Arabidopsis thaliana: one gene and its partner. The protein of the gene in region 1 interacts with the protein of each later gene in a pairwise test. Each region holds a gene or a part of one and is shown on either strand. Other genes may lie near its edges.

Region 1 (5,718 bases):
ATAGGTACATCTTGTAGTTCATGGTTATTTTTTCCTTTGTTTGTAAGCTTTTCAAATCAATATTAATGAAATGAAAAAACAAAATTATTGTTATTTGATAAGAAATTTAACTAATTTTAAATGAAAAAAATTTAACAAAAACTAAATAAAAACATTGAAATTAATGTGAAAAAGTGAGAGAGAGAAACTCAAATTGAATTTGAAAACATTCAATGCAAAATGTTCTGGGCTTCTGTTATTAAGTTTTTTTTTTTTTTGAAAATCAAAACTCTATTTCCAAAACCCTTTTGTACTCTCCCACATTTTTTCACCAATTACATTTGTCAGCTTGCTTCTTTCAATATCCATATCTACAGTACTTATATATGATAAAAAAAAATAAAACTAACTTATAGATTTTAAATAGATTTGTAATTATCCAATAGTTAAAGAATATATACAAAAGAATCAATAGGTGACATGATCATAACAGTAAAATCTCTTTAACAACTTTGACCTCCGATTATTTAGCTTCCTGTTATTGCTTTTATAGTTATGTAGGTTTATCATGTCTGTTTTAGAAATCATGAAGATTATTTAGTTGACTTGTTGTTACCAAAGATTCATGTTTATGCTCGAAATAATAGAACAACTATTTCATGAAAATTCTCAAAAATATGAACTATCATAACAAAAATCCCTAAGAAACTGAGAAATATTTTTCAGTTTCAAAACACTATTTTTATACGTATAACACTAAAAAAGGCGAGCTATATGGTAAATCTAATTTATTTTTATTCTCTTAAACAGCTTACTATTTCGTAAGATTTGAACCTTTTATTACATCTTATTTCATTTTATATTAAGGAGTTTTCTCTTTATTTTTGTATTTACACACTAAACAGTCTACATCTAGTTTTCCTAGATCATTCATCGCTGCCACAAAATCTCTGCACTCTATTTCTGAAACTAGGGGTCTACGCGAAAATATTTTGATAAGATTGTTTGTTATAAATGGATACAATTAAATGTGACCAATTAGATTATACAATGGAAATAGAAGAAAAAGACAAGAGAAATATTATCCTTTGGTTACTCTTCTTTTCTATGTTTATAACTAAAATTTTTGTATCCTCTCATTTTTCTTGATAGGTGAAAATTAATACAAACCCAAAGTAAAATTCAACTTAGCTGAAAAAGTATTATTATATTGTTCAAAACACCAGTCGAAGCATTAGACTTCCTGTCTACAAACATAGTTACATGAAATACACACCACTATAGAGTAGTAAATAAAATCTTATTAATTATTAATCAAGAGGTAACGGTTAAAATAAATTTATTAAAATATTTATGTCATTCACTATATATTTACATTAATGTGTGTGTGTGTTTATGCGTGGAGACTTAACGTTACACACATTTTTTTTTTTTTTCTTACACACATTAAATTTTTTTTTTTAGTGGTCAACTGGAAAAATGTGTTTTGTATTTAGTAAATCTCTTTCCTTCTTTTGAAAATACTTTTGAAGAATAGAGTATGTATTTTCCAATAGTGAAGTAATTCAAAATTATCAAAACCATTAAGTTTATGGTGAAAAATATTTTGTAACCCAAAAAAATGAATTGTACTGAAATTTAAATTTAGATTAGATGGTTTGGTTCGAGCTTGTGATCTTTAATTTCATATGATTATTAGTTTTAAGTTAGTGAACGCTATTTTTTTTGTTCGTCTGGTTAGAACTATGTATGTGTAAATAAATGTTTATTAATTTAATTAAGTTCTTGGCCCAAAACCTATGAGAATTAATTAGTTGATAAATTACATGTGTCAAATAGGTTATAGTTAGTTTCTAAAATATTTAGTCAAAGATTTTTTTTTTGACATCTATCAAATAGGTTATAAATTATATGTGTTTTAATTTTATTGGTTAAAGTAAATGATCATATAAGTTATATTATTGAATAAATATATACTAAATATTACTAGTGTTGGTTAAAAACTATGGAAAATTTTATTGTTATAGAAATATTTTTGATGGATAAACATTGTTTATCTATTAAATATATAAAAGGGAAAGTTTCTTCTATATAAACTCATGATGATAAGATTTTGAGCAAAATTACCAATTTTGTTTTCTTCTTTTGTCAATACAAAGGCTTATAACATTAATTGCTTTTATTTTGTGGTAAAGAGATATCAACAGATTTTAGATAATAAATTCATATTTCTTAATGAAAACATTGTTATTGAGGGAAATTTTTTTATCATTGTATAGAAGATTCCCTCTCTAGAAGAATATTCATATGAAATGAGATGCTGGATACCCAACTAAATATTTGTATTTTTTAGAAATTTTGTTAGTAACGACTGAATGTAGTGCATCACATTAATTGAAAATGAATTTATTTGACTATCAATATAATAATAAATGTGTTAGTATCTTTGATTTCGATAAAATCCACAATATATACATGAGTGATCAGTGTGTATTGTGTTGTTGGAGACTGAACCATCAACGCTTTTTCGACACTTCTTCTTCTTCCTCCTTTCTCTCTTCATGCAAAATCACAGTTACAAGAAATAAACAAAAGATTATAAATCAAAACATAAAGAGACAAAAATGAGTGATGGTCGAGTTAACGCAGATCCTCAACAAGAAGAGAACATGGTTAAACCACCGGTTAAGAGATCTCTCACTCTCCTCATCGTGACTTACTTTTTTCTCTTCTTCGGCTCTATCGCTTCGAGCCTTCTCGCGAAGTACTATTTCGTCTACGGTGGCTCGAGCCGGTGGGTCTCCACGTGGGTTCAATCTGCTGGCTTCCCTCTCCTCCTCATCCTAATCTACTTCCCTCACTACGTTCTCAAAACCACCACTCGCCGTCCTTTCACGCGCTTCACGCTCCGCCATCTCATCTTCTCCGTGTTGATCGGGCTTGTTCTCGGTTTCAACAACTTCCTCTTCTCATGGGGAACCTCGTACCTTCCGGTGTCCACGTCATCGCTTCTCCTCTCGACACAACTCGTCTTCACTCTCATTTTGTCTAGGATCATAGTGAAACAGAAGATCACTTTCTCAAACCTCAACTGCGTTGTCCTGTTGACGTTAAGCTCTGTTTTGTTGGCTCTTGATTCGAGTAAAGATAAACCGTCCGGTTTAACCAAAACCAAGTATTTCATCGGGTATGTATCCACGATCGGAGCCGGTTTACTCTTCGCTCTTTACCTCCCCGTGACGGAGAAGCTATACCGTACCGTTTATTGTTACGCGATGGTCATGGAGGTGCAACTGGTGATGGAATTCGCAGCGACGGTTTTCGCGACAATCGGTATGGCTTGCGAAGGCGGGTTTAAGGAAATGGTTAAGGAAGCGAACCATGTTTTCACCAAAGGACCAACATTTTATTGGACGTTTGCGATACTAGCAAATGTGGTGACGTGGCAGCTCTCTTTCGCAGCCACGTCAGGGATGGTTTACTTGACGTCAGGTATCACCGGAGGTATCTGCATGACGGCGTTGCTCGCGATGAATGTGATAGGAGGTGTGGTGGCTTACGGTGACGTGTTTGGTGGAGTGAAGATTGTGTCGACGGTGCTATGTATTTGGGGATTCTCATCTTACACATACGGGATGTATATGAAGATGAAGAAGGAGGAGAAGGAGAAGGGAGAATATTCCGGCGTAAAGACGACGGAAGACAGCGGAGAGATGGAGGTGGAAATGGGAAATGTTAAAGATGACGTGGCGGCGGCGGATGATAGGGCTTGAAGATATCTGTGTGATTGAGACGGCCGTTATGATTATTATTAGGAAGGAAGCCAACAAAAAAAAAAAAAGTAGTAGTATCTTTTTGTGTTCTTTCTTTTTCTCACCTTATGTTTTTTTAGTAATGCATTTGCTTTTGTTTTTCTTGTTTTTTTAGGTTGTTTTGTTTTTCCTTTTCTGGTTATTTTTATGAATTATCCTCTTATCATGGCCACAACTAATGATGTTGTACACTTTTTAAGTGTGGATTTTCCAATGTCGGTTGATAAGTATGTATTTTTCTGTTATCTATGGGCTTTTGATTGGTTTTATTAGATATATGGTCTGTTATTTTCCCAGTCTCCAGTGACATTGATACGAAAATTATACACCCTGTGATGACAAACAACAACACCGACGATATATTGAGAATAAGGCGACGATAAGTAGTGTTGATTGTATCGGATGCTGAAAATAAGAGTAACTGTGACAATTTATTTTTTTATCCGGTGTGACTCTTGGAGTGGTTTCGGTTTTTTTATTTTTATTTTTATTGTTGATAAGAATAGGCCAAAAAAAAAAAAAAAGTAGGCCCAAAGGAATAGGTCCAGTGTAGTTATTTAGTGAACAAAAAAAATATTAACTTTCACCTATACAAAAATGTGAATTTTTTTTTTTGTTGGAAACACTTTTTACAAAAAGATGTGATATTATTTGATCTAAGAATATCCAGAATGTGGTTTACAAATGTATACCACCTGTTTAATGTTTTGACCATGTTAATTTCCTATAGCTTGCTTCAAATCCAACTCTCGATTATACTTACAGTTCAGAGAACAACAAAACTAATCCTCTGTTTTACAACACATGACTACATTGTTAGTGTTGGTGGCAATGCCAAAGCTCTAGGAGATAATTTTTTCAATTTTTTGTTCTTGGTAATGAAAGTTTTTGAGAGAGCATGTATTTATTTCATTTATAAGGATTTAATAGATTGTGTTTTATTAGTGTTTGACTTTTTATCATAATATAAAATTTGACGGGCGCTGGTAGCCTGGTACATGTCCTTGGCGCCGTCGAGTTGAGTTGCACTCTGGTAGAATCTTATTCCAAATTACTTCATGACATTCTCCAAGACAGAATGATCTCCTCTCTTTAAGAAATTTACGATTATACTGAAGTATGATGAATTTTACAAATGATATACTATTATACAAAACATATAACAATATATATACCTGTTACACTTACAGCCAATAACATATAAAAGAACAAAAAAGGAAAAAAGTTGTCGTTTATGGGAAACAACATACCAAACAAAGAAAATGAAAGTGCTCACGATCTCTAAGATTCCAATTAGACAAATATTAATGATGATCATGATAGTTAATTAGAGTGTTAATAAAATGAGTGAGGAAATAAAGAAGAGACACGCTTAATGGTGATGATGCAGCTTGGCATTAACTCGGTGTTATTTACGAACATTGTCTCCTTAATGCTCCTTTAGTTTTTGTATTTTTCTTTGAGCACTTTAAAATGAAAAAGATGGTTTTTCTTATTATCCTTTTTTCTTATGGCTTCTGGCTCTTCACTTATATTTTAAACTCTAGTAAAAATTTCAGAGCCCACAAAATCCAAAATTTTTGTTGCTTTTGATTCAACCACAAATTATATCGAAATTGTGATCCAGTGTAGGGTAATGTATGTTTCCATGACGTGTTTTAAACACCACGCTACAATGTTAACATATCAGTAATTAATTTCCTTAATTTATAAATCTCATAGTTCCTCATAAATGAAAATGATAAAATCGTTTAAAGATTGGTTAATTCAGTCCATAAGAACCATCAAAGTGTATTATAAGTGAATCTACAATATCTCTATATGTACTAAAGAAATTAGAAAAAACGAGGAAGCAGAATTCATATGCTATGAAACAATATTGATAGATTGCATGTATATACTTGTATTCAATTGTAAATAATAAGTA
Region 2 (5,297 bases), on another chromosome or scaffold:
AGGGGGTTTACGAACATTCTCTTGGCTATTTCGAGTTGATTTCTCTTCCAAGTTGTGTCGTCTCCATTTTTGTTGTTACAGTGGCCGAGCTTTTTGTTTTCACAGCGATGGGTTTACATTGGTTTTGAAATTCAAATTGATCTCGGTTCGGTTTAATTTGGTTTAGAGAAGAAAACCAAAAAAAATACGACACGCGATGGGTTTTTGAGAATGAGGTGCGTGGATCCAAAAATGCATGATTTTTGTGGATTAACCCCTTTAGAAATCGTAGACACGCGCTCAACGCGACATGAGTGAGAGTGGCTGTGAAATAGCACGATTGGTAAAAGTGGGGTATGAAGTGGAGCTCTCTCATTGGCTAAAAATATAAAAATAGTAGGGGAGCTCCTCCTCTCATATATTGAAAACAATAACAAACACTTATAAATGTTCTGCATTTTCAGAGTAAATTTTATTGATTTCTGAATTTTTATTGATGTGCATAGATTTTGTTTCATATTTTGTGTACTTGTAGTTTATCAACACTTATGGATCATTCGAAATGTATACCAATCAGGGGAAACCTTCAAGAAGAAGATCAGAATCAAAGTATCCTCTGCCATGGAACAATTAGGCTTGTGTCAGGTTCACAAGGAGGCTATATGAGGTTGACACTGGATTATGATACTTTGAATGCTGCAATCAAGACTGGAATCATCTAAAAATATGAATCCTTCAGCTTCTTTAACCAGTAATACATATGTGGATTAACAATATAAATCCTTTGTTGAATAAAGGAAACAATTAAACGTTTGATTACATATAAGACTTTACATAATCCAACTTTTATATGAAGCTACTACAAACAAGATTCAAAGATTCCATCTAATCTTCAATCTTCATCTTCAACATCCTTCAATATCTCTCCACTTAAGATACACTAGCCCAGCTCTATAGTGCGTGAACGCACCAGCAACAACCAGAACATGAAACAACTGATGGCTATGTCCTGCTATATCGAATTTACCCGGCATCCATCTCTCTGGGATCCTAGTTGCATAAACCAGAGCTCCTAACCCATAAAGCAAACCCATCAAAATCTCATAACCTGTCGTGTGAAGGGCTTCAGGTTGGTCCCAAAAGATTATCAGCTTGTGAAGAATCGGAGCTAAGCCAGAGAATCCCATTCCAAAGAACAGAGACGCCCTCACCACCCGAAACTCCGGGCTTTGGAAAACCGGGAGGAGAGAAACAAGCACAGTGGCGATTCCTAAGATGGTTATGAATCCTAAGTAGAGGTTGCAGAAGAAAGGATCACACATGAAGGAGTAATAAACCGGAGGGTAGAAGGAAGTCGCTATTAGAGCTGCGATGCCGGCGTAATCAAGCCTAAGCATTATGTAGGAGACTCGCTCGGAGTGACATGAGAGGAGGTGGCACGTGCTGCTTGCTAATAGACAGAACATAGCACCACCTAGAAATGCATAAAACGGCCATCGAGTAATTGGCCTGAAGATCAAAGGAGCTATCAAGTTTGCAAGATCTTCCCTCACAGAATGCTGCAATGCAATTACAAAGATATGAACTTGGCCACATTTTGAAACAGTAATCTGCAGGAATAGAGAGAAAGATTGAGTCTTTTCTTACCAGAACACACATGTCAGTGTAGTTGCCATGAGAAAATCTTTCAGGCAAACAGTTATAAAGAAGGTCCATCACATGCCAACTAGATGGACTAGAAGGAAGGCGAGCCATGAGCTCAGAATGAAGTTTGTGGAGATCTGTTTTCCTCAACAAATCGGGTAAACGGTGTTGAAGCGAATGAAGATCCACGACACTCGGTACTTTCGTTGCAGTGTATATAGTGAGCGCCAAAAACAGGAAAAACCCAATCAAGTGCCTGCAAATCCCAAAGAACACACACACACAAACACACTCAAGGCTCTTGAACTTTAAACAAGGATACATCAAGAAACATGATTCAACACTTACGTCCAAACATTCAAAGTCTCATTATGAATGGTAAAGATGCTGAGAAGAATCTGTTTGATCGGCCATTCGGATCGGTAATGACCAATGATGTACTCATTGTCTCTTAAATAAGCAGGCAATGAATGAAACTCCACCAATTGATACTTGACTTTCTGCCATAACCTCTTCCCTTTCACATTATGTTTCTTGTCCATTGTTTCAGATGAAGCTTGTGGCTTTAAATGTTCCTTGATCTCTGCCTCATCACCCATTTTCTCTCTACTCATAAACAAACCAAACCCATAATATCAATCATACAGATCTAAATCTAGCTCAATCTGAATCATTCCAAGAAGTTAGGAATCAAAGTTTCAATTTTGAACGTTTATGCTAAATCTTGTTTTGTTCTGGATAATGAAAGTATCGATTTTTATATGCAGATTCAGCTCATTCATTACCTAAAGCTTCAATCCATAAATGGATTTGAGAAAATTACCTGAATTTCGAAAGACAAACCCTGTAAGATTTAAGAAATTGAGAGATAAGTAATTAAGAGAATTATGAGAATTTTTCTTCGATTTCGTGAAATTAGGAGAGAAAAGGTGAGATTTTGTTACCTGGATCTTCAATGCCGACGAGACAAAATCTTCTAAGAAAGATCTCTCTCTTTCTTAAAAGTCAATCAAAATAGATCTCAAGGTTTCGTTTTTGTCGAAAACAGAGAGTTCTTGTTTTGGTATGAAATCGAAGAAAGAAGAAAAAATAGAAGACGACGATGGAAGTGGAAGCTCTGAAGCCACAAAGCTTTATGAATTTTATATATTTTTATATATTTCAAATTGGGACCACTAGTTTTGTTTTGTTTATTAGTAGGACCCTTTTATTTTTCTTTATTTTCGTTTGGGCTAAGAATTTAATAGCTAGAGTATTTATTGTACGAGGATGGAAATACATCAAACAGAGAAAATGTTTTGTCGAAAATATTAACAAATATTTCTCCTATGAAATCAAGTCTTTCTCAAAAAAAAAAAAACTTATTTGATATGGGGAATTTAAATTAAGGGAAAATTAATTTAACATACCATATGAGAGCAAAAAATAAAAAATAAAATAATTGTGCTCCATGGATTCTTCTTATTAATGATTAAAATTTTCAATTAGGTGAAAAGGAAAAATTTATGATTGTGGCACATTTATTGCATTTAATCATCTTTCAACTAAAAATGGAGATGTCTATTTATGGTTTTGTTTATTTGGTCGGATTTCTTTTTTTTTTTTGTATAGAAAATATTGACAACGAATTGAATTTCAGTTCTAGTTTATGTTTGGATTTAATTTTAAAGCAAAAACTATCTATCGTTAAGAATTTTCCGAAATAAAGATTCACATTTCAGAAGATTTTTTTGTTTTGTTTCGAGTCGGTTTTGGTTATTTTCTTACATAAAATACACAGAATAATTCGAACCATAATATTGAATTGTTATTTTGGTTCACGTACGTTTACCGTTGGAGACTTTATAGCTCTTCGTTTATGCTTGTACGGATCAATAATCATGCATACTTAAGTATTTGGAAAGAAGAAGAAAAATAAAAGATTTTATCACAACATAAATAGTAACGTGAATTGGCATAAATGAATCGCAACAAACAGGTCGCAATCACAATGATAAAAATATCTACTGGCACTACTTCATAAGGAAGGATCTTGTAAGAATATTACTTTCGTTTTATTCGGATAAGCAGAAGATATTCGTTTTTTTTCTGGCTCGTTTTTTCACCTATTCAAGTTTTATGTCAATTTGGTTACGTACTCCAAATTGTGGCACTTGTAATTTGACACTCTTTATCAAAGTTATCACTTATCTTACTTGCCAACGAAACTAGTATCAGTATTCAGAGCCATTAATACAAATCAATCAAATCTTAGAGGAAGAACTAAAATGATGTACATAAATTGATGTTTTAGTTTTGCCAATTAGCATAAATAAATACTTTTAAGAATCTTTTCACATTTTTTCTCTAATAAAAGTGAAACATACACATTAAATCTTTTCACATTTTTTCTCTAATAAAAGTGAAACATACACATTAGAATCAGTTGTTCACCATATATAAAAAGGCTCGCCAAATTAAGATCTGGACATACTTAAAATGGGATTGGGCTGGTAAATATTCTAAAAACATTCCTTAAAAAGCCCACTCTGATAAGTCCGCGACTTCGAAACTCCGATGCAGACCGAAATTGGTTCTATAGTTTGGGAGAGAATGACCAGACCGGTTCAATCAATTTTCCTTCGATGGACCCAACCGAATAACTTCCATGTGGGGACACAACTTAAGCTTGTAACGACCAGACATTCAAAGAGTTCCGTCAAATAGTAATAGAGAAAGACTAAAGAAGAAAATATGGAAAAATAAACAATAAATAATAATAGAAAAAGACTATTGAAGAAAATATGGAAAAATAAACAATAAATAATAATAGAAAAAGACTATTGAAGAAAATATGGAAAAATAAACAATAAATAAAATACCTACTTACCGTGGGTCCCACTACGGTACTACTGCCGCCTTCTCCGACCGTAATCAGCCGTCACCTGCCGGTTTAGTTACAATAACAATTTAGTATTTATTTGAATTCTTTCTCTCATCGAAGTCTAAGGAAGATGGAGCGAGGAGCTTTAGTGGGTTCTTCTTCTACTTCTAGCTACTATGTTCCTTACCACTTTCGCCAATCAAAGTCGAATTTTTCGTCATTCAAACCAAAAAATAAGCTAAACCCTACTCAATTCCGGTTTAACTGTTCATGGTTTAAGCCGGTTAGTTCTATAACGGCGGCGAAATGCAATATGTTTGACTACGCGGTGACTGCAGCCGGCGATGTGGAGGCTGAGCATCCAGTTGACGACAAACAGTTTGTGCGTTGGTTCCGTGAAGCATGGCCTTATCTTTGGGCTCACCGTGGCTGCACATTCGTCGTTATTATCTCCGGCGAGATCATCGCCGGCTCTTCTTGTGATGCCATTTTGAAGGTACCGTCTTTCTTCACCGTATTATATACTTTGATTTATGAGAAAAAAGCACGCAAGGTGTTCGATTGTTTGCTTGCCTCAACTAAAGTTGTTACTATTCTTATTTTGCTTTGTTATATGATCTTTTCTTTGCAATGTGCTTGAGTTTTCAGTTCTCGTATTTGAGTAGAAGGTGAAGTGATTTGATATATGTGCAGGACATAGCGTTTCTTCATCATCTAGGAATAAGGTTTGTTTTAGTTCCTGGAACTCAGGAGCAAATCGACCAGCTTCTGGCTGAGAGAGGTCAGAATATTATAAGCTTTGTCACGATGT

What was found. The genes of interacting proteins can lie anywhere in the genome.
Region 2: the proteins of PUP4 (region 1) and HHP4 interact in a protein complementation assay, tested with the Arabidopsis thaliana proteins (one large-scale study listed by BioGRID).

Annotation. Positions count from the first base shown.
Region 1 is NC_003070.9:10,971,978-10,977,695, forward strand, and holds PUP4 (purine permease 4), read left to right. Parts: upstream 1-2,467; 5' UTR 2,468-2,603; coding exon 2,604-3,752; 3' UTR 3,753-3,820; exon of another isoform or gene 3,821-4,086; intron 4,087-4,297; 3' UTR 4,298-4,321; downstream 4,322-5,718.
Region 2 is NC_003075.7:17,698,156-17,703,452, reverse strand, and holds HHP4 (heptahelical protein 4), read right to left. Parts: upstream 2,820-5,297; 5' UTR 2,568-2,819; intron 2,468-2,567; exon of another isoform or gene 2,447-2,467; 5' UTR 2,238-2,446; coding exon 1,972-2,237; intron 1,880-1,971; coding exon 1,627-1,879; intron 1,539-1,626; coding exon 885-1,538; 3' UTR 501-884; downstream 1-500. Other genes in the region: NAGS2 (N-acetyl-l-glutamate synthase 2), read left to right, coding at 4,617-4,982, 5,180-5,267. UniProt on the Arabidopsis thaliana protein: May play a role in abiotic stress response.